Rhinolophus ferrumequinum: one gene and its partners. The protein of the gene in region 1 purifies or fractionates together with the protein of each later gene. This does not show direct contact. Links are inferred from orthologs where the notes say so. Each region holds a gene or a part of one and is shown in the gene's direction. Other genes may lie near its edges.

Region 1 (10,155 bases):
ATGTCATTAATACTATCTTTTTAAATAAATGGTCGTTGTATGGAAGGACCCTCAAATGGAAAGCATTTCCAGCTGTAAAACTTTTACCAATTTACCTTTATATTTATAATTTTTAAATGAGGGCCAATATTACTATGTTGCAAAGCTGGTGCCACCTGCCCTGTAACTTATTTTTGACAGAGATGGCTTCCAACCAAAAGTCTATTTTTCTTAACTTTATAAAATAAAGACAAAACTTACTCTTATCCCCCACTTTCTCAGTTTGCACTGGCTGATGGGGGAGAAAACAAATTACGTGAGAAAAAATAGGATTATCAGTTTTCACATTCAGCATAAATCATAACAACATTTTAATATTTACTGTGTGAAATTCATCTGGGACTTCAAGTGTTATAATTCATAGCTTTTACCCTCCAAAATCCGCCTATGTTTGTTCTCTCCTGTCACAGCACAGTACTTGTTAACCGGAAGCTTAATCATTAATACATAGTTTCATTTTATATTCACAAGCTACCTATTTGAAGAACAAAGTTTTTGGTTTTTTATAAAGTCCAGTCCTATAGTCATGAATTTTGAAACTACATTTAATATGCTTACACACATCCTAGCATTTAAAAATCACACTCCTTCACCCAGCTTTCTGTGCGATTGCAAGGGCCTGGAGCTGAGCTGCGCCCTCCACAACTGGATTAAAGGACGACGACTTGGAGCTGATGGGCCCTGGAGAAACACACTGTTCCCCAATATTCCCCAATAAAATTAAAAAAAAAAAATCAGCCCCCTCTTAGCTTTGAGCTGGCAGGGGAATTTGCTGTGCTCCCAGCATCCCACCAGATAAAGCTCCGAGCTGGGGAGGCTGGGCAACTACACCCTCTGACTCTGTAATTGTCATGAAAGAGATTCTATGTTTTACTTTAAAATGAATATGCTACAAATTCTTGCATTTACATTTTTTAAGGAAGAAAGCTTACTATTAAATGTCATTCTCCAGAGACTCTGCTTAGTTTATATGCTCTCAGATTAATTATAACAAGGTCACACAGGACATAGTCAAGGATTACTTGTCAAAGCGTTGTGAGCAAATTAAATTTCCTACCATAAATCAAAGTTTGCGACTCTAGATGAACATTCATAATTTTATAACAAGCATCTTAATAATTACACTTTTTCTCAAGCAAACATGCAGAATAAAACAAGCATTGCAGTTTTTATGGCCTCAAGGTTAAGGGTTACATTCCAAAGAGAATTAACAGTAAGCCTAGAGTTAAACTGGGGAAGGTTAGACAGCACTCTTGCAAATAAACTACTTAAAGTAATGATGACAAGATTAGACTAAGCAGAGAATTAATTTGAAAATTTTTCTCTTTTATATGAAGGAAAACCAGTATGAGTTTTATAAAAAGAATGCATACTTATTATAAATTATTCAAGCACTCATAGAGGTTAAAAAAATTCAAATGCCATTGCTCATAAATAATTAGCCTCTATATTAAGAGGATATCATTCTAGACATCTTTTCATGCATGTGTTCCAGAAAGACTAAATAGATATATTGAAATATTTTGATAAATATGTGATTGTTTTATATATGCTATTTGTAATGTTATTGCATTTAATTGCATTTGTATTTAAAACTTGAAAAAGAATTCCGAAGAAATCTGAAAAAATTATGCAATTTCAAATAAATGTTTTTTCACCTTAAGAGAGTATTTTTTTAAAGATCCTTCTATAATTACAAAAAGATTTTGAAAGAAAAAACACTGAGATTAGAATAATCGTTTTTATTACCTCCTGTACGTCAATTGAGGCATTATCATTTGAGTCCCTGATATGAAAGATGAGGACATTAAATCCAGAACCTTCCTTTACCCTCCCCCACAGCTTCATATATTATATTAATGTTCTTACATAAATAGTATTTGTTTTAGTTTATAACTGTAACTTGTAAAATGTTTTATATTATTTCAGATGTTTCCAAATCTTACCACAGCTTCTCCACTCCTGAAATCTTTGTTTTGATTTACAGAAATTTAACTTCAAATAAGACCTTTACCCCTCCCAGCTCATGATATTTATTTCTTTAAGTGCTTATTTTCAATAATATTTCCCCTTAAATTTTTCACTCTAACTTGTGACTTATTTTTTCTTGAATCTTTAAAATTTTCCCAAGGTTTAGAGAAATTAAAAGATTTTTATCCAATGTCACACAGCTAATGTGCAAAGTCAGGATGCTAATTTCTAAGTTCACCCTGTTGTCATCTATCCATATCCTTTACCCTCATTCACTTATACACTTGCTCATTATCCATCACACCTAGGTAGCTCTGTATCTATCCGTTACACCCATCCATCCATCAAACATCTACTTACTTCTTCATTATTCCATTTACACACATGATGTAAACTTATATACATACATATGTAGCCATTCATCTATCCAGACATTCCACCTATTCCATCTATCAATCCACCCATCATCCTTCCATTCATCTACATTTATTTACCAACATCCATCCATCCACCCATATCTAGACACATACATAGATAGATCTACTTACCCAGACATTCATCTGCCCATCTACTCACCCACAAAGCCACCCATTCACAAATCCATTCTATTTCCATTACATTCAATTTCCCATGGATGCTTTATCCTTTCTATTCATCTAGTCATCCAACCAGTTTATCAATTTACCCAATCAGTGATAACTCTGAAACCCAGTCCTTCCATAGGATAAAGGAGTGGTCTCCTCCTCACATTCTCTTCTAATCTCATTCCATTTCCCAACTATCGGGAGAACACCACAGCCTTCCATGAGCACAGTAGGAGGTCTGTGAGCTCACACCCTAATTGTCTGTCCCTCATATGAAAATTCTTGCTACAGAGACTATTATTGGTCTTATGGTATCCTATTAAACATACAGCCCTCTGTTAACGATCTCCCCAGTTACTGAAACTTCTAATCTTCTTACAGTAACCAATTCCCTCTTTATTGAAGATCCATCAGCAAAGATTACAGCCTCAGATCACAAGGCAGAAATTTGGCCCATATTTGAACTCCTTTTGACTTCTTCCATCATTGGCCTGATGTTTTTATTATGGGCCCAACCCTCCATCAATTCACTCACCGCTTAGCTCTCAAGCCATCCAGCCAGCCCTGAATGTGACCTGCCGATTTGCACACACACTAGTTTAACATTTACATTTCCCAACCCCTATTATTGTAGGTTAAACAGGCCAAAAGCTCCACTTCAATGGACCTCAGTAAGAGCTTGAGGGACAGAAGCTCAGTCTCCCACTCAGGTGAGTGGTTCACAGTTAGAATGATTGAATCAAGGCCATTTATGAAAAATACAAGTCAAAACAAATGAAGAGGAAAGAGTATGGAAATAAAAATAACGTTTAAAGAGTCTCTTGCATAGTAATTTGCAAAGTAGAGATAAGGAAACTATAAACAAACTTAGAGTTAAAAAACAGGGGAAAAAAAGGAAGAAGAAGGAAGAAGGCAATAATACTGATAAGGAGGGAAAAGAGGAGACAGAGAGAGATTATAGCAGTGCCTGACAAGTGAGTGAATTAGCCCTGTCTTCTGGTTACCTCCAAAAAAACCCAATGATAGAGAAATTCCAGAAACGAGATGGAGGAACTAATATAAAAACTGTAACCCCTGAGGGGACTAAAGCTGGGGTAAAAGTTTGGAGCAGTCTGAAGTGAGGGTGGCAGGTATAGAGGTGGGAAAAAAGGGTTGTGGAGAGATTTTAAGTTCTGTTCATTCCTCTCTCCCATATTTCCCAGGGAAGATGACTGGTGGCCTCTGTCACTGAAGGAAACAAAAATCAGCAGTGTTGGCTTGGCTTCTCAGAGTAATATCAGAGCCATGCTGAGACGAGATTCTGATAAAAACTAATGCCAGCTAAAGAGAGTCCCAGCATTTACTCTTCTACCTCCTTCTCCTCCAAACCCTCATGGATGACGGATGGCCATTTCAAGGACAATGGCTGATCTCCTCATGAATGGTGACTGACCGTTCTAAAGATCTGGTCTTCTTTTAGTGCCGTTTTGTTTTTTCTCCAAAGAATTTGAAGAGAAATCCTGGACTAGAGAAACTCCTCTGTGAAATGAAAGCAGAGGGATGTTGAGTAGCAATTCTGGAGTACGTGAGGCTCTCCATCCAGGGGCTCATCCCCACTCTCCTTCATAATCACCAGGAGGGACAAAAACAGATGTTCATCATAGCCCTTGCCCATTATCAGACTGGGCAGCTGATAACCACAGGAAAACAAGCTTACAAGGCAAAATCAGTAGAGACCTAAAGAGTAAAACCACTATAAAAATATATACAACCAGCTGAACACAATGCATACCACAGACAGATCAAGAGTAAAATAAATATAAATCTAACAAATATATTCAAAGATATGAGAGAAGGTTGATGAAATGAAGAAGGAACAAGAGGCAATAAAAATAAACCCTGTGCCTCTTCTGATAGAAGAATGGGTAATTCAATCAGGACCTCAGGAAAAACTAGTCAGTTATTTAAAAAGATACTTGAAGATATTGGAAAAAGAACAAAGTAGTAGGCCTAGATCTTGGAGAAAATGGGAATCCAGAAAGGTACAGCTTCTGCCCTGGGAGCATTTGCTAATTCTGGACAAGTCAGCTGAGAGCCTAACCAGTGTTTTAGTCCATCTCAAAGGAATGGAGTGAAAAATGAAGAGACTAGGACTCATCAAAGGAGAATGCCTCAGGTTGGGATGAGAACTCAAAAATCTGCAGCATAGTAATAAGTTTGGGCTGCAAGTAGACCTGCTCTCACAAAGATTTCAGTCCAGCTTCCAATCAGCTCAGTCTCTGAAACTGGATTAAGGAAATACCAGTTTGCTAGGATTTCCTAGTGCCTGGCATGGCCAAATGCAAATCCTCCGTGGAGAAAGATAACACCACCCTAGGCCTCAAAAACTACAAATTAAAACTACTATGAGAAATCACTACAAAACCACCAGATTATCTAAAATTAAAAGACTGACAGTATTAAGTGCGGACAAGGATGAGAAACATTGGAACTATCATATACCACTGGTGCTTGGTACAACTACTTTGGAAAGGTGAAAATATCTGCTAAATCTGAAAATATACATACTTCATGATTTAGCAATCATGAAGAAATATACATATATATTTGGCACATATATTCACCCAAAAAACATGTATAAGAATTTTCATAACACTAATATCTGTAATAACCAAACACTGGAAACTACTGAAACGTCCCTCTACGATAGATGGATAGACTGATATAGTCACACAATGGAACACTATACCGCAGTGAAGATGAACAGCTCTTAAAACAAAACAAACAAAACAAAACAAAACAAGAGACCACATGGTGGCAGGACAGTAATAGGCAGCTTTGTAAACCCTCGGTTAAATTAATCAGAATGCCACAGGATGAGTCTAAGAGTGCTTCTAACGCTGCTCCTTGTTCTTCCCTGTTCAGGACTATTCTGTGCACCTAAATGGGGCAGGTGAATTGGAGACAATGAGAAGTCACTGTCCTGTCCTCCTGGAGCTCATGGTCCAGATACACTAATTGTTAGGGCAAGGAGTGGTGTTGTCCATCCTGTGGCCCCAGGGTCAAGGAATCCAGGGCATTGTCCTGGAGATGGCCACGCTGACTTTGGGGCTTCATTGCTCCTTCTCTCCCACGGGGCAGCAAATTTAGGATAAAATGATCCGTAGGAGCGGTTGGTATTAGGTAGGTGCGCCCATTACTGGTGCCTCCTCTCTTGCGGGCCAGGTCTGCTGTAACGCCTATGGCCCCACAGAGGCGCCCAGAGAAGCGATCTGGGCCTGGGGGCCGGGGGGGTGGGGACAGAGACCACTCGGGGTGACGGTGGAGCCCTCTGCGCGCGCGCGCGCGCACACACACGCGCGCGCACACACACACACACACGCGCGCGCGCACGGTCCACCACACCCTGACACCCTGGCTCACACCCCCCGTGCCTCCCTCCCTCACACGCACACACCTCCTCTCCTTTCCTCCTCTCGGATGGCTGCGCTGTGCATCAGTGTCGCGCGAGGGGGAGGAAAGAAGTGGCATTTAGGTTTAAAGACCAGAAGCAAATGTCCCCTGATAGTTTAATGCCATTTTTCTGGATTCAAAGGAGGGGGTAGAGTGGGGAAGACAGACGTAGAGGGGCAACGAGAGACGGCCCGATTCAGGGCCTGATCCAGGCATGGCGAGGCGGCTCTCTCCCGTCCGGGTGCGGCCTCCGGGTGGGCGGACGGACGCCCCTCAGCCCCGCAGCGCCGTGGGCCCCGCATGACATCAGAGGCTGGGGAGCGCGCAGAGCGCAGGCGCCGGCGGAGGAGGGAGGCGGGAGGGGGGCGAGCGGCGCGACACCGGAGAGCGCTCCTTCGCCCCGCGCGCTGTCCCTGCGCCCCGCTCCGCCCGCACCGCTCTGTCCGCGCCGCGCTCGGGCATCCACAGCGCGCTCCTCGCTCCGCAGCTAGCGCCGCCCGCGGCAGCCCAGCCCAGCCCAGCCCAGCCTTCTTCCTCCTCCTCCTTTCCTCCTCCTCCTCCGCCGCCGCCGGACACGCAGCCGCAGGCCGGGGCCGGGACGCAGCTAGGGAGGCAGGGACGCGCGCAGCCAGCCCTTCCCCCTCCGGCTCCCGCACCGCCGGCCGCCTCCCCTTGCCCTCCTCCTCCCTCCCTGCTCCTTCGCTTCTCCTCCTCCTTTCCCGATCCCGGCTGCCAGCACCATGTCCGCAGGGGGAGATTTTGGGAACCCACTGAGAAAATTCAAGTTGGTGTTTCTGGGGGAGCAGAGCGGTAAGTACCTCGCTTATTCTCATGGCTTGGCGCCGAGTCGACCCCCTTCGCCAAATCATCCACCCCCTGGGGGCCCCCGGCCCTGGCTCAGAAAGGTCCCTCCGTGCCGGGGTAGAGAGGAGGGATGGGCATGTGGAGGTCGGGGCCGGCTCGAGCGGGGCCGGGGAGGGGAGGGGAGAGGCCAAGGGTAAGGACCGAGAAGGCTCTGGGGCCAGAGGTGGGGATGCGGGGGGATCTGGGGTGCGGAGGCAGGTGCGGCGGGTCGGGGAGGTTGGAGGGCGGCGGCTCGCTCGGCGGCGCAGGCCGAGGCGTGAAGGCGCCGGGCTCGCTGGCTCACTCGCACTGCGGCACCGGCTGCGGGCGACCGCGCAGGTGGCGGGGCGCTGGCGGGTGTCGAGGGGAGGACAGACGCCCCTCTTTGGAGAACAAGGTGCGGCCGGTGTCAGGCCGCCCCCCACCCCAATGCACCGGAGAGGTTCCCTGCGGACCCTGCCTGCAACCATGCGTAATTGCTGGCACGTCCAGGCCCTGGGGCAGACGGCCGCGGTTGGGAGCGGGGTGGTAAGACGGACACCTGTCTCTTCTGGAAGGAGCGAATCCCGGCTGTGGGGGGAACAGGGCTCTTATTCCCGGTGTTACATACCCTGGCTACTTCCCTGGGCACAGAAGGTTCTAGACCCGCTGCCCTTCACCGGCATGTGTTAGCCTCGTTGGGGCTCGGGGTCAGGATGATGACAGCGAGGATTCCCCAACTGAGGCAGATTTGGGGGATGGTACAGGAGCGCCTCGCACCAAGAGGCCACCGTGAAGCCTGGCGCTGGACAGAGAAAGGACCAGGTGACACGCCCTGCTTCGCTTCCCAGCACCCCTCCCTAGAGCACGTGGGCAGCGGTTCTTCCCATCCCCACCTCCCAGCGCAAGGCCCTTCTTGGGGGAGGGGAGGTCATCGTGGCAGCCCGCCAGGGACGGGGGGAGGGGGAGAGAAGCGGCTTCCCAGACGTTAGAAGCCTCCCCTGGGAAAACATCTGAAACCCAGGCTGGTCCCAAGGTGGGAAGACCAGATTGAAGAGCATGGACCCCTGTGACACCTGTAGGAAGGAATGTTTCTCAGAGCATTCCTTCAGAGACATCTCACCCTGGGGCTGCAGGGAGACAAGTGGGCCTTGCCCACAGCTGCTCAGGGAGAAGGCATTCCCTTGGGGCAGGTCTCCCAGCTGTAGCTCTGCAGACCAGTCCAGTGCAGAGGGTGTGGTGCCTTTCTGTACAAGGGGCCAAGACACAGGCAACCTTGGGAGAAGTGGGTTGGCTCAGGGAACGGTGCTGCTGTGGTGTGTGTACATGTGGGTTGTGGAGCTCACATGGCCGTCTCCTGTCTGCTGCTCATCTTCTGGAATGGATAGAGCAGAGGAGGGTATCAGAAGGTGGTCAGGCCTAACATGGTGATGGGTCTTGGGGCGAAGCTGGGCATTTCAGAACAAGACCAAATCAGCCAGCCAGCCCTGTGTCCTGGACTCTGAGTGTGATCTTAACAGATTCCAGTTTCAAAGCTCACTCTTCCCCATGTGTCGCAGGATTTCAGGGGTGTTCACGTACGTCCCAGTGCTGGTCTCTCTGGGCCTGGAGCCCTGGGAGAGAACTCCGCAGGGCTCAGGCAGCCTCGGAGTTCAATTCCTAGTGTGTTGCCTTGAGTAGATTTCTACGCTTTGCTGAGCTTCAGCTTATGTCTCTGTGAAATGGTTACTTGTGGGTAGTTCTCTTACCCCCTCGTGTTTCCCCAGTGACTCTCAAAGGTGCCTGGACCCTGGTAGGTTCTCAACAAACGTGTTTATTCTGAGTCTGAACGTGCTTCAGTAAAGGGCCAGGGCTTGGATGAGGAGGATGTCTGGTGAGTTTGAGTGAAAACTCTGGGCTCCTTCAGAATCCCTGACGGGCTGAGGCTCCTGCTGAGCCGTGCAAACCCCCTTTGCTTCTAAAATCACAGAAATGAGAGCTTAGACCTCAGAGATGGAGGCCCCACCTCCCCGGCGTGTTTAGATGGGAAGTCTGAGCCCCAGGGATGGGAGGCCTGGCCAGGAGGCCCACTGTGAGTTGTTAACACTTCTGGGGCTGCAAAACCCACATCTCCTCTTCCCAGTGACCCACATGTCCTTGGAAAATAAGATGTGAATGAGGAAGTCCAGAATTGGGGACCCTTCCTGAGAGGGGGTGAGGGTTCCCACTTTCTGGCCAGGCTTGGGGCTGAGTTGAGTGACCTGGGGGGAACGCTGGACTCGGTGTTTTGGGGCAGGTTTTGCTGATCCTTCGTCACTAGGGATGAAAGGCTCTGCCGTCAATGTGATTGGCTATCGACCACTCTGTTCCCTCCTGACAGGGAGTCCTAGGCCTTGAAAAGCCTCCTCCCACTTGGGTGTGTCATCAGTGGGTTGTTTAGCTTAGATTTTATAGAGCTTTCAGGGTCCCTGAGTTTGGTAGGGACTTGTGCATCTCTGAGTTTGGTAGGACAGGGGAATTGCCACCGCAGCCACTGCTTCCATCTTGCCTGCACAGTTTTGCATGTGTTGGTCCTTTGTGCCAGCATCCTGTGCAGCCTGTGTGGAGTGGAGGGAGCCCCTGAGACCTGGCCCTCACGCCCACCCTGACTCTCCCTCCCTCACCTTCTGTACGGAGTGGACTTGGGCCAGCTGAGTTTGATGGAGCCCTCTAGAGCATCTGGGCTTGCCTACGTGAGCTGAGCCTGATGGAAAGGGGTCAGGGGAAGGGGCTGGAAGGATGTGGCCCTCTCTTGTTTCCTGTGCCTGGACAGCTGGATTCCAGAAAGGAGTACCTGGCCTGGAACACAATGATGAGGAGAAGTATCAGGCCTTCAAAATGCCCAGGTCCTGGTTTGAGTGAGAAGCCCTGGAGAGAACACCTGCAGCTCCTGAGAGAGCTCTCCCTCCTGGCGCAGAATGCCTGCTGCCCCCTGGACCATGAAATGCAGGCTGCTGACAGTGTCCGCCCGGCAAGGGATAGGATTGTGGGGACCCAGGATGAGAGATTTCCTTGCAGTAGGAAGACTGCAGTCCTGCTAGTGCTCAGACGGCTCCCTGGGCCTGCTGGTCGTGCCCGTGTTCTCATGGCAGTGGTGGGGGACGCAGGGGGTGAGGCACACCTGTTCTGACTGTGGCACTTGGTGGCATCCAAAGGAGACAGGCACTAGCAGGTGTCTAAGGAAGGAGACTGGGCCTGCAGGACACACATCTTCCTCCTAAATTCTAGTGGCATTGTGAGGGGTTCAGGGCATCTCGGTGTGTGTAGTGAGGAGAGGGGATGTGGGCAT
Region 2 (9,335 bases), on another chromosome or scaffold:
TAAATAATATATATAACTGCCAGCTCTTTAGTCATAAATTTTGGATATTATTTATTGACTCAGAAATTTGAAAATTTAGACTTTCTAGCTATTCCCTTCTCCTTCCACCATCCTCTAAATATTATAATTATTTGGTTAATTATATAATGGGTGTTTTGTTTGTTTTTAAACAGCTTTATGGAGATATAATTCATATACCATACAATTCACCCATTCAAAGTGTATATACAGTTCAATGGTTATTATATATTACATTTTTAAAAAACTGTGGTAAGATTATATAACAAATTGCGATTTTAACCATTTTTAAGTGTACAAATCAGTGGCATTAATTTCATTTACAAATGTGCAAACATCTCTACCATTTCCAAAGTTTTTCATTACACCAATCACAAACTCTGTAATCATTAAGCAGTAACTCCCCATTTCCCCTTGCCTCAGCCTCCTGTAACCTGTATTCTATTTTCAAATTCTGTGAATTTATCTATTCTAGCTAACTTATATAAGGGGAATTATGCAACATTTGCCCTTCTGCATCTAGCTATTGCATTTAATGTAACGTCTCCAAGATTCATCCATGTTGTAGCATATATCAGACTTCATTCCTTTTTATGGCTGAATAATATTCCCTTGTACGTATAGATCACAATTGGTTATCCATTCACCTGTTGATGGGGACTTGGGTTGTTTCCACCTGTTGGCTACGCAATGAACATTGGCATACGGGTATCTGTTTGAGTCCCTGCTTTCAATTCCTTCGGGTTTATGCCTAGGATAGAATTGCTGGATCACATGGTAATTCTAGGTTTAGCTTTTTGCAAAACCGCCAAACTGTTTTCAATAGCAGCTGTACCATTTTACATCCCCACCCCAGCAATGTACAAAGGTTTCAATTTCTCCACATCCTCCCCAGCACTTATATTCTATTTTTTTTTTAATAATAGCTAACCTAAAGGATGTGAAATGGTATCTCACCCACTAATCTTACACTGTGGTTTTGACTTGCATTTATCTAATGACTAATAATGTTGAGCATCTTTTCCTGTGCTTATTGGCTATTTATTTGAATATCCATAAGCTCTAAGTCAGTGTCCTTTCCCAGCTCTCTGAAGCCATTTTCAGACTGACTTGGGAGGTCATCCTCTTCTCCCCAGAAAGCCTCTTTATGTGAGTAATAAACATTTCTATATCCTCTTGGTGTACATGTAGCCTTATTAGTCTTGATGTATGAACCAAATTTTGGGAAGGGTGGGTCTATCCCACCTCTACAGGGTGATTTCAATGCTTTGTCAGGATAACTGTTATTTCATCTAGAGCTAATTTAGCCTGACTACTAAGGCAATGCCCTTCTGAGGAGTCTAGCTAATGTGCCATATATTAAAAGGGCTTTCACTGTAGCTGGCGGGAACACAAACCACACGAGCTCCAAGAATTATTCAGCCTACTTCTTTCCAGTGGGTCTTTTTCTGGTCTTGTATAGCTTTCTCTTATGTGTGTACACATCAATCCTCTGGCTCATTCCCAGGGACCCTCTACACATCTCCAAGTGTCTCTCTTTGTGTAGCTTTCTCCTCTATGGTATTCTGCCCTGCAAAATCTAGCTGCTTTGGCCTTCCCAAATGATGATTTTTCTTTTTCTCCTCAACTCAGCAACACCACTGGGTTCCCCACCCCTCCTCTACTCCCACATTGTGACTTGGAAAATATCTCTAGGGAATAAGCTGGTATAATCATAGGGCTCACATCATTTATTTCTCTTTCATCTGGGATCACAGCCCTGTATCATACATTGTCTAATGTCTGAAAATCATTGTTTTATACAGTTGGTCAACAGTTTTATTTAATTTACACAGAAAGGTAAATTTGGGCCGTTATGCCATTATGACTGGAAGCAGAAGCTGTGTTGAGGTATTAGTCCTCACAACCAGTAACAATTTTTGTAAGTGTTCCAGGTATACTTGACAAAAATATGTAATTTTCCAATTGCTGGCTACAGAACTATATACTGCATACATGTCCATTAGGTCAAGTTCATTCATTGTGTTAAAATTTGTTATATCCTTCTGTTTTTTTTCTTGACCTATTTGTAACCATGACAGTTGTGTTGAAATCTTCTACTGTTACGGTGTATTTATCAGTTTCTCCCTATAATTCTAGCAATTTCTTTTTATTGAAATGAAATTTATATACCATAAAATTAACTGTTTTAAAATTCAATGGCATTTAGTACATTCACAGTGTTGTGCAACCACCACCTTTATCTAGTTCCAAAACATATTAATCATCCTAAAAGGAAACTCTATATCCATTAAGCAATTGCTCCCCATCCCTTCGTTGCCCCTAACCACTGCTTTCTATCTCTGTGGATTTACGTATTCTGGGTATTTCTTACAAATGGTATCATACAATATGTAACCTTTTGTGTCTGGCCTCTTACATTTAGCATAATGTTTTCAAGGTTCATCATTCATGTACTTTTTCTCCATTTTTATTTTACTCTTTTTTCTGGGACTCCTGTTGTTCAGATATTAGAATTTCTATTTTTATCCTCTATATCTCTTTTCTGTTGCTTTTATTTGTTTATTTATTTTTTTCTTTCTTCTTTTGGAAGGATTCCTTAATTTGGTCTTTCTAACTTACTAATTCATTCTCAATTATAACTTTCTGCTATTAGATCACCTATTACGTTCTTTGTTTCAAACATTATTACAGTCATTTTAATACCTGGTCCCATATTTCTTTCATAATTCTCCTATCCAGAGATGGGTCCTATGCCTTCCCACCCCCTCTTGAATCTGGGCTTTGTAACTGCTTGACCAGTCAAGTACAGCAGAAGTGCTGCTGTGCCCATTTCCAGGCCTAGGCCTAGAGAAACTGTGAGCTTCTACTCCCTGCTTATTGGGCTGTTTACCTACGGACTACAGCCACTATACCATGAGGAAGCCACACAGCCCACGGACAGGTCCACATGCAGAGGACCCAGTGCTCTGGTCCACATCTCCACTGAGCTCTTTGCTTATAGCCAGTAACAACTTGCTAGTCATGTGAGTGAGTCATCTTGGAAGTAAGGGCTCCAGCCCCAACTGATGCTATATGGAGTAGAGACAAGCTTTATTTAACTTGCAGATTTGTGAGCAAATAAATGTTTTTGTTGATTGTCGTTTTAAGCCACTATGTTTTGAGGTAATTTGTTATTTAGCAATAGATCACTGAAGCAATCATATTTTTCATACCTTAGGTTTCTGTTGATTTTTTTTTATATTTTCTTGTTTCATATTGCTAATATTCTCCCTTATCTTTTGTAATATGTTTATTAGGCTAATTTTGAATTTTTGATTAATGTGTTCTAATAATTTTCCTGATAGATGTTTTCTTTTGAAATGTCTATGCTCCTAAATGTCTTTTTGCCTATAAGGTTATTTTCACCTGTGAGTACACTGATGGTGCCGACTACTTGGTCAATGAATGGCATGGGGGACATTGTATCCTAGCCAGAGTCCCTCAGCGTCTAAGGTTGTCAGTTGGACTGTAGTGGCCTATCTCCCCCACACAGCACCTGACCCCACCCCTGAGGAGAACGGCCACATGAGTTGGCAGGATGGGAGGGGTGTGAACACTGCTGAGAACATGTGTCTGGCCAAATTGCAAAGCCCAGACACTTCTCCACTTAAAGGCTTGTACTGCACCGTGCTGTGCATCCTGGGGCCAGAGACTAAGGATGCCAAGGTGACAAGACCAAAAGGGTCTTGTCCTTGTAAAGTCCACAATCTAGTGGGCACAAAAAAAACATTAGTAAAAGATCTCATCAACGCATTTCTCCCTGCAGTGGGTACTATGCCGGGAAAGGGCCCCGGGAGAACCCAATCCAGGGGAGGGTAAGGTGGGGTGGCAGGGTGTGTGTCAGAGAAGTCTTCTGGGGAGGAGGTGGTGCTCCAGGCTGAGACTTTCTCCATACAGAGGAGACTGGTAAGTAAGGGTGGGGGTAGAAGATCAAAAGGCATTCTGTCAGAGTGAACAGCAGGTGATTTGCAGAAATTCCCCAGAGTTTGAGGAAGTGAAAGAGGCCAAAAGGGTTGAGGCTGGGAGGGGGATGGGGAGAGGCGCAGCTGGAGAGGTTGGAGGTGCCAGATGGAGCAGGACCTTGTGCGCCAAAAGAAGAGATTGGGCTTTCTCTTCAAAAGAGGTGGCCTTACAATGAGCAGGGGGAGAGAGCAGGGAGTACATTTGGAAGGCTGCTACTGTGGGCAGCTAATGGTGGTGTGAAGGACAGGAGGTCAAGTGGACAGGCCTTGGCTGGGATGACTGGAGTAGAGGCCAGTATGCTGGTCAGCTCAGAGGTCCTCCTGCAAGGCCCAGTGACTCTGATTCCTGATTCCACCGCAGAGCTGGAGGCTGGGAGAAGGTACTGTCTGGGTTGTTTGGGAAAATACCACTGATTCTGATGTTCTAAAGCCCTGTGAGCCACAAAAGGGAGAAAAATGGAGATAGACAAGTAAATGGGCTCTTGGGTTTTCTGATAAACCGCTGAAAAGACAGTCTAGAAAGATTTAGATGTTAAAGTAAAGCCAACTGGCTAAATTATCTGAAGCACTGAAGTAGAAAGTGAAAGAAATGTTAAGAGCAAACAACTAAACGGTTTGGGTAAAGGAACCCCAGGAGGTGAGACAGTAAAAGATAAAATTAAGAAGAAAGAAGTTGGTTAAAGAATCCAGTGTAACCAAAGGGGCAACGGGGCGGGGCGAGAGGATCGTATGTCCTTCCCACCCAGGAGGCAACAGCCTCTGGGGAGAGGCCGGAATCCACAGCACCTCCACCAGGGAAAGACTGCAGTGAGGGGAAAGGAGGGACCTTCACTGGGACTGGGTTTCCAGGAACGCAGGGGAGAGGTGGGAGACACAGAAGATGGAAACGAGAGGGTACCGAGGAATAGAGGGAGGCCCTGGGAGGGCCTCTGCGGTCCTGGCCCGGGCCCTGCTGACCCTTCTCCGTCCCAAATGTCGCATTTACTAGGCACAGAGCGCAGAGCCAGTGCACCCCACGCCCAACCTCACGAAGTCGTCAGGCAGCCCCAAGAGGTGGAAGCGCATTTCCTCATTATACAAGTACCGCATCTGGGGCACAGAGGGTAGCCCCTCACCCAAAGTCACACAGGAATCTGGCCCTCCCCAGGGTTTGGAGCCGCTAGTGGTACTCCCTCCAGAGGGGCTTCACTCCTCCGAAGCCCCCTCGGGGAGGAGCCGGCCCGAGTCCCTCCTGCTCCCCGCCTCCGAGGGGCGGCCCGGGGGACGAACAGAGGAAGTGAGCGCAGCGGGGAGGAATGCAGGCGGGCGGGGCGCGCCGGCCCGGGACAGCGGAGACAGCCGGGCCAGTGGCTGGGGCAGCGGTGCGTGCGATGCCTCACTTCACCGTGGTGCCGGTGGACGGACCGCGGCGCGGCGACTATGACAACCTCGAGGGGCTCAGTTGGGTGGACTACGGGGAGCGCGCCGAGCGGGAAGAATCAGACGGTGAGGGCGCGCCCGGAGGGGGCCTTGGCGGGGACAGGGGAGCCGGCCACGCGGGGTCCACTCTCACAGACACCTGGCCCGTGCGTGCACACGTCGATGCGGGCCCAACTTTTCTTAGCCTGAGCAGCCGCCACCACTCCTTCGCCCCGCGTGCGCAGACACGATCTTTCCGGGCCCCGGCGCCCGCAGTCGGGCCGCCCTCCCAGCCCCAGCTCCTCCCTTGCGGGCCACGGGCGGGGGCTGCAGACGTGGCCGACGAAGGAGGCCAAGCCAATGGGGCCGCCGGACGCGTGAATAGCAGCAAACTCCCATCTCTGGCGCTTCCCGGCTGGGAGCACAGCCGCATCCCAGATGCCCAGCCCCTCCACCTTCTGTGAACCGCCTCCAGCCTCTTCTTGTCTCGCCGACCCATTTGCGCCTCTACCCCTGAGAATCCCCTCCCCTCCCCCATCCTTGTGCCTCCCTGCACTCGGGCTGGCAGGAGAGAAGGGTGTGCCTGCCTGAGGGGGTCTATGAGTGCACTTGTGTGGATCTCTGCTGAGATCTGTTTAGGTACCATGGGCATCTGGGGAGCACTACCACGGAACCAGGCTTGTCTAAAGGCTTTATGTGAATTAACTAGCTTAATCCTCCCAATTTCCCCCAAGAGATGGGTCCTATTACTCACACTTAGGAAGGAGTGAACTGAGATAGGAAGCTGTTGTATAATTTGCCCAGGGGATTCAAACCCAGGATTGGAGACTCCAGTGTCCTAACTGTTAGCCTAGGTGTTAGAACTGGGCCTAGAAGTAAGCTCCTCTTCCCTTCTCTCAGGTGCCTGCTTCTTCCCACACCCCTTTCTCCATCTTCTACCCCAGGAAGCTCCCAGGTGGCAGTCCTTGCCAGGGCCCACTCTTGGAGTGTGAACATTGCTGAAAACATGCGTCTGTATGTGTAGTGGCATATGCATGTGTAATTGTGCCTGTGCAAGTGTGTAACTAGGGTATCACAAGGTGAAGGTGGGGTCAGAGTAGCACATTCTCATAGCCACTTTCCTGTAGGGGTGTCAGTGATAAGGATGGTAGTATGACTGATGACAAATGCCTGTGTCTGTGTCTGACCATGATGGAGATACGCAGGGAACATGTGTGTTGGTGGCATGTGTCAAGTGATGCCCTCTTGACCTAGTTCTGATCTGTCTGTGATGGTGACATGACTGAGGTGATCCATACCTGATGGGTGATGCCTATATGTGTGTCACATGACTGCTGTGCGGGGAGTTGGCACAGGCCAGTGGCATAGGCTACTGGACATCATGGAGATTTTACAGGCTTGACAGCCATGTTCGTGCACGCTCCTCAGCCCTCACCTCTGGTGCCCTGACCTGCTCCTAGCCTTGTTCCAATGGTCAGAGCAGGAGCCAACATCCCTGCTCCCATTAGCCCTGGGAGGCTTTCTCTCCCAAAGTCTGGGCTGGACTGCATCCGGAGCAGCCTGGACCAATGGGCAGGCAGAGCTGAGCCCAGCCTCTGGCCACGCCTTGGCCTCTCACAGGGTGATTGGAGGGACCTGGAGTCATACTGGCTGAGTCTTGCCAGGTCTCTCCAGCCTGGGCCAGCTCCTCCCACTATCCCCCCGCTCCTCCTCTTACTCCTTCTCAGCCAGACCTTGGTTGTGTCTGCGGTATGGGGGACACTCTGCATCCTGGTGAGTGATTATGATCCTTCTTGGTGGGAATTGTGAAGGGTTGGGGTACAAAAACAGTGACCTCAGGTCCACCTCATGGGATACCTCCAGCCTGGTACCTGAATCTCTCAAGGCCCACACCTCTGCTCCAAGGGGTGTAGAGGTTCCAGAGGGGTACCCCTGGCAGATGCCTGTGAGCACAGGAATCAGGCAGGAATGTCACCTGGATACCCACCTGCAGCTGGAGCCAGGAACACACATATATGTGCATTTCACAGGCAGTGCCCCAGGCCCAGGCCATGCTCTGGTTCACCGGGGGTTTCAGGTGGTATCTGAGCAGCTTCAGCCTGGCAGGCATGCCCAGACCTGCACTGGAATTTTTGGAATAGCTGAGGGCAGTATACCCAGACACTGCTTAGAGCCCCATATTCCCATAATCCCATGGTAGTTGACCTTATACCTACTGGGTGTCTGGCACCAGATTGTCCCTTTTCTGATGCATCTGGGCAGTTAGAAGAGTAGGTATTATATTACTATCTCTACTTCATAGAAGAGGAAATCAAGGCAGCACAAAGAGGGTAAGAAAGTTGCCCTGGATCATAGAGAGGGAGGGTCAGGAATCCAAGCCAGGCTGCCAACCATCAGCACCAAGAGCCTTGGGTATGTGCACGCTGGCCAAACTGCAAACCCCAGACACTCTTCTCTAGTTAAAGGCTTGTACTGCAGCCTAGGGTGCACCCTGGGATGGACTGGGACCTAGAACAGGAGTAGGGAGAACAAGCTCCTACCTGGCTCTAATGGATTCTGGGACCCAGGTTTGGCCCTTCTCACTGGGTAACCTTGCCTCTGAATCTCTCTGAGCCTTCCTTTCCTTGTTACGAAAAGGTGGGAAATGATATCTACTGCAAGGTTGCTCTCAGGACTAGAGGCAACGCTTGGAAGGGCTTTGAGCTCTTCTGGAGTCATGGCTGAAGGGACAAGGGACCCACTGAGTCTTGGAGGACCATCCATAGCCAGTTTGGGAAAACTGCTCTGTGCCCAGCTCTGCATTTTCTGGATACCAGTGCAGTCTCCTCAGAGAGACATGGCAGCAATGGTGGGGCAGACTGCAATGCATGAGGTTAGAATAATTTATTTCCAATTTACTTCATAAAAAGATCTGAAGAGATATGCACCACACCTCCTGGCAGGTTCCACCCCTTGGTACTTCCCCCAAGGATTGTTACAATCAGAAAGACCAGAACCATACAAAGGAATGGGGCAAGGACTCTGAGATGAGGTAGATGGTGACTGCATCTAAGGAAAAATTTAACTTGAAGATTCCTGACAGCCAAGGCAGAAAGGGAAATAGCACGAGCTCCATAGCTGCCATTTTCTGACAAAATGAAGCATCTGATTTATTCAGGGGAGACACTTTTTTTGTCATAAAAATCCAAGAGTACTTTTCAGGGGCTTCTCACTGAAGGGCCGTCACTGTAATGGGTGGTGTTACTGGGTGTTCAGACTTTTCTTATGGCTCCTTATCCCGATCCCAAACAAGCATCAAGGGCATAGCAGATGTCACAGATGTCACAGGCTGAGGAGCTATGTGACCCCACAAGGCTTTAACATGGCTCAGTGGGCTGCCTTGACCTCCTGTTGCCCTTGTCAACTGTGCTGTTGGCATTGACCTACACACAGTCGTTTAGCTCATGGGAGTGAGCTGCTTGGCTCACTTCGCTAGTCCAGGTTCCTAGTTGAGGCGATGTACCACTTTCACATGCTGTACGAAGGAAGACCGTACTTTGCCCCAGAAATTGTCATCAGCACACTTTACCTGTCAATCTCCTTGGGTAATAAAGAATCCACAGTGCAGCACCTACTGAGTGATTCTTGGCTCCAGAGAAGGCAAGTGAAGTCTCATACTGATGGCAAGAGGCTGTATCAGATGATGACGAATGCATCATTCAGCATCCTTACCTACAAGCAAGAGAAATGAACCTCTGGGCTATTTAACCAGAGAAGGTTGGCAGGTAGCTCTTACAAAGCCAGTGCATACCCCCACTAGTCTGGGTCCATGATGATACTTCTGTTGCCACCTCCATCACCAGACACCAGGCAGTCCAGCACTGCTGCCACAGTCATTCCATCCAACACCAATCTGGCTTCTTTGAACCAAGATGT
Region 3 (10,093 bases), on another chromosome or scaffold:
CCCCAACCCCCAGTCTTTTTTTTCCCAACCCCCAGTCTTCATGGCACAAACTTATTTCCCAGCCTCTCCAAGTGTGATTGTTTTTTTGGTAGCATCTATATTCTCATGTCCCTCTAGGTCAGTACAAAGACCCCTATTGTCCCCAGGTAAAGTGTCAAATTTGAATCCCCAAGGATGTGGCAGGGGGTGGGGTACCCTCTGCATCACCTGCAGACTTACCTCCATCTGAAGTCATCCTCTCAGGTTTGGACACTAGCTGTGGCTGTCTGGAAGCCTCCAGAATGAGACAGTCAGGTTGAGGACCCAGAGAGTAACCTGGCTCCAGTAGATACACAGGGATCCAAGGAGGAGAGGATAAAGATCAGATCAAAACAGAACTGGAATCTAGAACTCAAGGAAGTCTGCAGTGGGGGAGGGGATAGGGGAATGTGGGGCTGGGGTAGGGAGATATTCGACAGCAGGCTCTGGTAAATTGGCAGTAACCAGGAATTCCCACCAAACCAGAGTTTGGCAACACAATTGTTGTCTACCTCTTTAGGGCAATTTGTAAATTTTCAGATTCCCAACATTATAGTTTTATTAGTACATCTCCGTTCCCTACACAATTCTTCACCAGTATATTTAGTTTTGTGCCCTTAAATCCCACCCAGTTCTGTAACTGACTTCCTATTAATAGAAGGTTGTGGCAGACCCTTGATTTAATTCAATGTTCGCTGTATTTTCTGAACCAAATTCAGAACACACAGTCTGTGTACTTAAGGATCTGGAGAACGGAGTGCTTGAAATTAGGATTGTCTGGGAAGACCCAGGGTGTTTGGTTGCTGTATGCATATCATTTCCTTGGAAAGCTGTCCTGCAGTTCCCAAATAGTCCACCATCAGCTCTGCAGTCCACAGAAGGTTTAGCCTTAACCCTTGGTTGAAAAGCCCCATTCTATCAAAGACAGGCATTCAACCTAAAATTTCAAGGCCAAAAAGTCCTTTTGTTTGTTAAATTATTTTTGTTTAAAAATTTTATTAAATAATTTTAATTTTTAAAGTGGGAACTACATTAGCATGGGTCTAAAGTAAAACTATACAAAACAGTGTACAGCGAGTCTCCCTCTCCCACTCTTTTCCCCTGGAACCAAGTTCTTTGTTCCCAAAGAAACCAATATTATGTTCCTGTGAATCCTTGCAGAGATATTTTATGCACTGCAAGTAAACACGTATTATCATTACGTTTTACGTTTCTTTAAAAAAATTTTTTTTTCAGGTTTCCTGGTTATAACATTAATGTATATTCCAATGTTTTTGACATTATAAATAATACTGCAAAGGTCATCTTTGTAATATTACCTGGGCTCCAGTTTTCATTTCTTTAAACTAGAGTCCTATAAGGAGAATTTCTACACGTTCTTTAAAACATTCGAAATAACCCCTAGAAGGTACATCTTATTATGCTATTATTAGCTACTCACCACTATAAGCGCTGAGTTTGTGGTAGAGAGACCTGAGTTTGAATCTTGGTTCGATCACTAAAACATACTTCACCAGTTTCATAAAACAACTTCACGCTCTCTTTGCTGTGCAGAATATTAAATACCCATCATGCACTCTTTACCGCCAATATTTTGAAATAGGGCCGGAGAACCGGATAGAAAAAGAGGGGAGGGAAGAAAAACCTTCCCTCTTCCATAAGGTAAAGGGGCTCTGAATCCTGGAGCTCTTTGTTTCTCAACGCACTATAAATCCACTGCCCCTGATATGGGTGTGCATCTTGCGATAAAGACAGGATTCTATTCACTAATGTTCAACTCATATCCATCCCTATCCCCCTCTAACGCCTAGCAGTGTCTGGCACACAGTGGGCACCCTCCATGTGTTTTAGAAGGCCTACAAAGTTGCAACTGGGCACCAAAGTCTACAAGGTTGCAACTGGATTGCAACTGGGCCAAGTCCTGCACTAGTGCGCCCCCTTCTGCCCAGCTGGAAAAAAGCCTAAAATGAACTACATTTCCCAGCATACCTTGAGAGAGACACTTCCGGCTACACAGGAAGGAAGTTGGCAAACACGAGAGACTGTTAGACTGAGCTGCTGACGGAATTCGAGCTTCTGTCTTCATCGTGGTCATGTTTCTCCAGTATTACCTCAATGAACAGGGAGAGCGGGTCTATACCCTGAAGGTAAGAAAAGGAAACATGTAAATAGGCATGGCGAAAAGTGGAGGTGGGTGGAGCGGTTGAGACCAGCCGCGGAGTTGCCTAGCTGAGTGGGGGGAGTTGGAAAGCCCAGAAGCCAGGCGTGGTAAGGTAGTAGCTGGAGTGTATGAGTGCTACTTTGACCGTCGCGTCTTCTGTCTTCCTTATGATCATTTTCCGCGCGTCCCCCTCCCCATCCCAGCCTCCATCTCCTTTATGACGCCAGTGATTGAGTTTTCTCACCACACCTGTACTGAGATTATGTTCTCTCTTCCTGGAGCAGAAGTTTGACCCCACGGGACAACAGACCTGCTCGGCCCATCCTGCTCGGTTCTCCCCAGACGACAAATACTCTCGACACCGAATCACCATCAAGAAACGTTTCAAGGTGCTGATGACCCAGCAACCGCGCCCTGTCCTCTGAGGGTCCCTTAATTTCATGCCGCCTGCTACCCCTCTGAGACTTTCCGAACCCAAGCGCTGCAATCTGTGAGCCTTGATGCCTTGTTACCACCCTTTCTTTTTGGAATCTGGTGTCAACATTACCTTTGATCATGTTTGTGCGAGGCAATCATGGTAGCATACACCTTAAAGGGAACAAGTTTGAATCTTCTTTTCCTGTTTTGACATACTGTCTGGTTATTAAAATGATTTGAAAGAGCTCTTATTTTGTATGTTGTGGGAAGAAGGACGTGGTTTAAAAAAACAAAAAACGAAGAGAGATGGGAGGGAAGTGTACCCAGGGGCACAACAATACTTGGAAGAAAATCCTAAGTCGTTGCTGTAGCAGGAGTAGTGCTGTATTAGTGACAGGAGGGTGTTGGGGAAGGGAAAGAAAGGTTGAGAAAGATTTACATAATTGTCAGCATTTACAGAAAAATACCCCTGTTATCATTCCCCTTGAAGTGACATTTTGACTTAAAATGGAAGAGTTGCTTGAAAATAATAGCAACCATATTGTAGAGGGAAAGCAGTGAATTGGAAGTCAGGAGACCAAGATGCGCTCCTCTCTGCATAACTTTAAGAAAGTCACTTAACCTATTTAGTCCCAATTTTTTCTTCATTTCTAAGTTCTCTTCCAACTCTATAACAGATTGGGTTCAGTGGCGGATATATATCCACAGTGTTGTTCCACCATTATGAATATGAATGCCTCTGTGCATATTTACTGCTCCTCTGGAAATAGTCGCAGTCTTTTAATTCTCTCCATCAAGGAATTGTCTTACATACACCTAACTTTATATTCTCTCTGGGAGCTAGCTGCTATGTGGAACTCTACGTGGATCTGAATTTAAAAGATGAGGTATGAGAGATTGAAGTGGAGATTTTGTTTTTCAAGCTATCGTTGGTGGTTAATAACAAAAGAAACCTGGGAGATTTTTAAGGATTTGAGCTTCTGTCAAAGGGCAACCATAAATTTTTAATTCAATTGCTTTATATTAGAGGGATGATGAGGCAAAATATTGTATACTGGCTGGCATTCAAGAAATGCTAGCTTGCTTTTACCTCACCTTGTCAAGTTAATCCGCTCATGTCCCCAATCATCTCATTCATGGCTTTTGACATTGGATTTGAATGTTTGCTTAATGCCACAGATTTAAGAATTGCTTTGTGGAGATTGTGTTCTAATTTTACAATCTTCTTTTTCTACTGCATCAAGATTCTAGACTCCAGAAGCAGATGTAACTTATCTCAGCACAAATTTGATTTATCCAGACTGGCCCTGCAAAGGGATAGATATGTTTCTCTTGGAATCTGATGTCTGACCATCCCAGCAGAGAAGTTCAGGATAGTTGTTGACTGCTGAGAAAAAAAGAAAAAATATCTAAACTTGGGTCACAGTTAATAGAAGACATGATTTTCAAGTCAATTATTTACTTAAACATATGGGAATGGTGAAACAAAATATTTGTTTCCTGTCAATAATTTTTTATTTCTTAGCCTAGTCACTTACAGGTTCTTAGCATTGGATCTGAGGGATTTTAAAGACTTTTCTTGCCCCATTAAGGGGATAATGATTGAAGAAATATTAAAAATTCTGCAAATGGCTAGAAAAAGCAGCTGCTGAGCAGATGTTTCCTGGCATTGTTGTCAGTTTTGAGTCAAACTCATAAAAATTCAGAAGAAAAAGAAAAAGGATCTGCTCTGGAAGTTTCTTAAGCACCAAAATCAATTAATCAAATCTGCTACCAGTATTTTTTAATGTTGACAGTAATTCTGTCCTTATAATTTACTCCTCCTCCCCAAAGAAAGATTAGCTTTGTTCCATGCTACATTCTGTGTAGACTGAAATGAGAAGACTAACATGGAAATATTCTGAATTGAATTTGAAAAGAAAGGCAAACTGGTTTGAATATACCAAGGATTTTTCCTTGGTACCCTAGGTATTAACATTTGAGACGTGCTCAGAAATGGGAGTCTTAAGAGTTATACTATTAGGTATTAGGTAGTATATATAAGTTAATGAAAACACTCTGTGTATGAAGCAAAATTGGTTGTAGAAAGCCAGCATTTCTTTGTAAGGGGAAAGTCTTTGAGATTTGAATGAACAGGCCTGCCTGAGGAAAAAAACATCCCTCAGGGAGGTGACTTTCTTGCTGCCTCAAGGTAGGAAACGGAGCCTTATTGGGCGAGGGTCTGAGTTCTTTAGGATGGAAACTTATTTTCTCCTGAAATTAATATCTCCACGCAATTACCGTAAACTTACACTGTAAGAAAAACAACAACAACAAACTGAGCCTGAATTAATAGGCACAAGCATTATAAAGCACCTAGTTTTGAGGGGGTTTACATTTTAAGTGGAGATTATTTCTCATTTTGTTATGTGGATCTTTTTAACCAGAGTGTGGACTTTGTGTGTCATTTGATAAAAGGGAATTTCCTGGTTCAGGTCTTAAACACAGTTCTGATTTTATTACTAAGGATGATGCTTAAAACATTTCCATTGGTGTAGAGGAAGGACACAGGCAAAGCCAGGGCCCAGATTGTTAAATTTAAATGTCATGATCAAAGCTATAGGAAATAACTTTCAAACGAAACACTGAGGAGCCAAAATTCATTGAACATGTCTATTTGTGCATTAAATGAACATGGTAAGAAAAATACTCTGGTGGCAGTAGTACGGAAAACACTGGGAATGGAGTCAAGAGAAAGTATTTTCTCTAGGTCTAAAATTAAAGATATTTTCGTTAACGGAATTTTCAGTCTGAGTAGAAAGTGAACATAGGATTTTTCCCCCCAGCTTTATTGAGATACAGTTGACAAAATGGTACATATTTAAGGTGTACAACGTGATTTAATAGATATATAATATACATTGTGAAAGACAGCATTTTTTTAAGGACTGGAAAAGGGGGCAAAATGCATAAACTTGAGGATACAATGCTTTAGAAGAGACCTCTACATAAAAATTCCAATAAGTGTCATACCTAGATATATGGTATTGGGAGGTTTGTGATTTTTAAAGAAATTATGAATGGTATTTTCGGAGATGCTTTTATTAAAGAAGAGAGGGTTTTTGAGGTTCTGAGGCAAGGGGCATTGCCTGCTCCCTGAGATGCCTCCAGAGTTGGTGCGAGAGGGCTGAACCAAGAAGGAAAAGGATTTGTTTTTTCTAGTGTACGTATTAATAGCTCAGTCTTCTATACCCAACTACAATTCCCATCGTGCTCCGGTCCTCCCACGTTAGGCCCCGCCCCTCGCCCCCCAGTCCCGCTGCGACTCAGGCGAGCGCATGCGTGCATCCCTCTCCGTCCGATAGCGGGCGGCAGAGGCTGGGCGGGGCTCCCGGCGCTCACGGGACGGTGCCGCCCTCCGATCGCTACACCGCTTCTCTTCGGACCGTTAACCTCGAATGAGGAACAAGCCGGGAGGGAAGGGAGGGGCTGCGGCGGCGCGGGCAAAGCCCGCCGGGCCCGGGGCCGGGAACGGCGAGGTCACGTAACGGCTACTCTGGCGTCTGGCCAGGGAAGGGGCGCCCTCCCCGGCAGCCAGAGCCCGCCTGCGCTTGCTGCGGCTCGGAAACAGTTACCAGCTTGTAAACAACAGCTGCGCGCGCACCCCGCATCAGCTGGCGCCGGGATCCCGCACCTGCGAAGTCCGTCCCTCAGCCGCGCCGCCCACTCCTAATCAGCCAGGGCCAGCCCGCGAGGCCGTCTCCTCTTCTGCTAGGACCCGAAGGAAGAACCTCGAGGGGCTAACCAGTACCAGCGACCTGGTAGGGGAGAAAGCGTCTCCGGTCAAAGGGTTGACCGGTCCTGTCAAACGCAGGAGAAACCCAGAAAGCGGATCGTGGCTTCAGTGGAGTAGCAACGACCTGCCACGACCCTGAACTGCAGTCCGAGTTGTCGCGATCCGCTAGCCGCCTCCTCCCAGATCCCAGGGACCTTTCTGCCAGAAAACCAGGCGGGCGGGCCACCCCCGTAGACCTCTCGGAGACAGGAATCTGCTCTGCCCCTGTATCCTCCTCTGCTCACCCTTCTGTCCTCATTCTCCGTACATTAGTGTGGGATATTTTTCTCGTTATGCATGCGCACCTCTCCCACAAGATCAAAGTGGATTATCGGCCTCAAAAACCTCGGGTGGCTGTACACACACCTCCCAGCCAGACCTGTGAGGTATTCACCTGATATACAACAGGTGGCCGGGTGTACACCGTTTCGCAATCTGATCTGCGCTATATTTGCATGATAAGGGTGGGCCCGCGCGCACTTTGCTCAACTAGAACCGTGGGACATTTACTAGATAAAGGACTAACTACCTCGGCCGAAACCGGGGGGTCGAGAGGAGAAAGGCGAACTCGTAAGACCATGGCACTGAGCCCGCGGCCCTGGATCAGGAGAGATAGCTAGAAAGCTCTTCATTCTGAAGGAACGAAGTTACAGGAGATAGGCACCGTTTTGTTTTGTTTTTTCTTAAATATTTTTCAGCTACTGGTAGTGCACTCTCTAGGACACTGCTTGAATTCTGAATATAAGGATTCTTATTTGGGGCTGTTTGTGTGGTGTAAATCAAGATAATTAAGTTTTTTTTAAGTTTTCTATTTTTGCGATCAAAAGCAGCTAGCGTAGGAGGAAAGATTTTGCGGGGTTTTTCTTTGCCCTTATAAAGGAAAAGAAAAATGCATCCTCCAGAAACCACCACCAAGATGGCTTCTGTTCGGTTCATGGTGACACCAACAAAGATCGATGATATTCCAGGGATGTCAGACACCAGCCCGGACCTCAGCTCCCGATCCAGTTCCCGGGTAAGGTTTAGCTCCCGGGAAAGTGTGCCTGAAACAAGCCGTAGTGAGCCAATGAGTGAGATGTCTGGAGCCACCACTTCACTGGCCACTGTTGCACTGGATCCAGCCAGTGACAGGACTTCTAACCCCCAGGATGTTACAGAGGGTAAGTAGAAACACAGATGACAGGATACTTTTATTGCTGGCTTATTTATGGAGGATGACTGTCTTCTGGGAGATCATTTTTCTATTATACAATAATCATCAGGAACCAATGTACCTCTTTTTGAGATCCTTAGGAATCCTTTGGAAGAATGATTAGCATAGTGGCTCTCTGCAATAGTCATTTGGCATGTGGGAAGGTATGTGGCAAGAAGAAAAGTAGATGTCTAATTTTACTTGATCATTTTTGTCTCCTTAGAACTCAAATGAGTGTTTTCGTTAAGGATGAACGGCAAATAATTTAATAGTTTTTTGGCACAGAATCCTAAATTGTAAAATTTAGTGCAGAGCTAGCTTTGGGGCTCTAATTAGTACAGTCAGCTTTGAAGGCCACTTACAAGTAGTTATTGATCATATCTTAGTTACTGGCTTTTCTACAAAGACTTCAGATACTGTATCACAAAATTCTTTTTAAAAATTTGTATTTTACGAAGAATGGTTCATGCAGCTAAGTTCATTCTGGGTGAGTCTGGGTAGATCTAGTGTGCTGTCCTGTTGAATGGAGAAATTCTAAAGAGGCTTTTAGGGCCTGTTTCCTACATGATATTTTTACTTTGAACTATAAATGGTATGTATTGAGTATTGAGCCTTTGTAGTCAGAAAGTAACACACAAGTCACTTCTGACTTAGATGGACCACTGCAGACTTTAATTTCCTGAACCAGTTTGTGTCAGCTGGCTTGGAAGTTTTCATTGGATTTACTAGGAAGAGGAGATGGAAGAGAGAGATGAATAAAGTGGAGAGATCATAACATTTTTTGGACTCTAAAGTAGAAAAGTTTGAGAAATGCTGTACTGCTTTATATGTTTAGTTTTGCAGTCTTTATATTTGGCTCTGTTTTCTAGCTAATGTAGATGTATGTCTGCTAATGAAAATTCTCATAAGAATCTTAAAGACTCCTAAAAATGATATTCTACCCAAATTTGAGAACCATAGCTTCAGCCACTGACTTGTGAAAGCGATTTTCCGGTGTCAGGAAATACTGTTCCTCCTAACTTAAAGGGCGCAGGAAACCAGAATGATTTTAGTTCCTTGTTTCTGTTTGTATTTTTTAATGTCTGGAGATAAAGTAGATTTGGTAAAGTTTATAGTCCTCTAGAATTCACTTATCCTCGACTAAACATTTTTTAATGGAGGTATTATAGATTGGTTCCTGGACTTAACCAACTTTTTTTTTTGGTTTTAATTTTTTTTTACAATTTATTTATTTTGACATTCGATATTGTATATTAATTTAAGGTGTACAGTATAGTGGTTAGACATTTATATAATTTAAGAAGTGGTCCCCTGACTAGACTAGTACCCAAGGAATTAACTATTTTCAATTTGACAAACTTTACACTGTGTACCACAGTGTTAAAATTACGTTATGGAATGAAAATAATTTATCACTTTTTTCCTCCAAATTGTAAATTGCAGTTTTAGTTTTTATTTATTATACTGTATTTAGGTTGTAAAAATACCAGGTAAAGACTGTGTTAATTTTTTTTACTGCTGTAATTGTCATTAGGTAATTTATAGTTAAGTATTGTGAGGCTTGTGACTTATATGTTATGGAATTGTATTTGTATTCTGTTTTTAAAAGTGGGCTTATTTCCATAATGTGGTAGCCGTGCAGAACAGGATCCTTGCCCAGGCCACTATCTTACCTGTAAGCATTCTTTACAGTCCAGAATGCTATCGTTTAATACTATAGGGGTAAAATAAAACAGGGGACATATCTAGGTGAAATATATGCTGTTTAGGTGGATACAGAAAGCTTGGCTCTCTAACACATTCCTTAATGTTTAAATACTCTCTGGTACTAGATGAAAGGGAAGTTAACTATCCAGCCATTACATCACATTTCCCCCCCATACTCTCAGGAAACTAGTTTCCTACTTTCCCAATGAACTACTTTTTCTTTTAAAAAAAATTTCTTATGATGACTGGTATCCTGTGAAATATTTTCTCCACCATTAGAGGGAACTGGTTAGAAAAATAATTATTTCATCTTCAGCCTCATAATATGCGGATGCCCTCATTACACATAGATCTTCAAAAGAAAATCAAGGACATATCTTAATCTACATTTGTTTCTGGACTGGAGTTAGTAGAGGAAAACAGCTAATTCCTTTTCTACAGTTGACTCTATCCTTAAGCTCATAGTGTATTTCAGAATTGTGTTTGCTATTTTAATATTTAGAATTCTGTGACTGTTTTTTGGGGGGCCTTTCTACATTTTTCTGTGATTGTAATATTGGTATGATTATCAATCCTTTCCCCACAACTCCCATGCCTCCCACATTTCTTACTGTAAAGATGCTTACCACCTTAAGTTTCTTTTCTTGTTATATACCTTTTACTTACAATGTATAAACAAGTTGGGGGTGGGGGGGAGACACATGAAGTTTTAAATAATTATTTCTATGTTCTATTTTTTTTCTACTGTTGGCGTTTTGAATAGATAATTGTATTTTTGCTATCA

Evidence for each region.
Region 2: the proteins of RAB6B (region 1) and SLC12A4 purify together in Homo sapiens (co-immunoprecipitation; 3 studies listed by BioGRID and IntAct, with this or other methods). This does not show direct contact. The link is inferred for Rhinolophus ferrumequinum from reciprocal best matches to the Homo sapiens genes RAB6B and SLC12A4.
Region 3: the proteins of RAB6B (region 1) and SLC12A6 purify together in Homo sapiens (affinity purification with mass spectrometry; 4 studies listed by BioGRID and IntAct, with this or other methods). This does not show direct contact. The link is inferred for Rhinolophus ferrumequinum from reciprocal best matches to the Homo sapiens genes RAB6B and SLC12A6.

The regions. Positions count from the first base shown.
Region 1 is NC_046300.1:34,132,929-34,143,083, reverse strand, and holds the start of RAB6B (ras-related protein Rab-6B), read left to right. Parts: upstream 1-6,365; 5' UTR 6,366-6,766; coding exon 6,767-6,836; intron 6,837-10,155. UniProt on the Homo sapiens protein: The small GTPases Rab are key regulators of intracellular membrane trafficking, from the formation of transport vesicles to their fusion with membranes. Rabs cycle between active GTP-bound and inactive GDP-bound states.
Region 2 is NC_046298.1:17,504,376-17,513,710, reverse strand, and holds the start of SLC12A4 (solute carrier family 12 member 4), read left to right. Parts: upstream 1-5,327; 5' UTR 5,328-5,392; coding exon 5,393-5,507; intron 5,508-9,335. UniProt on the Homo sapiens protein: Mediates electroneutral potassium-chloride cotransport when activated by cell swelling. May contribute to cell volume homeostasis in single cells. May be involved in the regulation of basolateral Cl(-) exit in NaCl absorbing epithelia.
Region 3 is NC_046289.1:70,954,520-70,964,612, reverse strand, and holds the start of SLC12A6 (solute carrier family 12 member 6), read left to right. Parts: upstream 1-5,930; 5' UTR 5,931-7,299; coding exon 7,300-7,570; intron 7,571-10,093. Other genes in the region: NUTM1 (NUT family member 1), read right to left, coding at 220-235; NOP10 (H/ACA ribonucleoprotein complex subunit 3), read left to right, coding at 2,112-2,165, 2,464-2,604.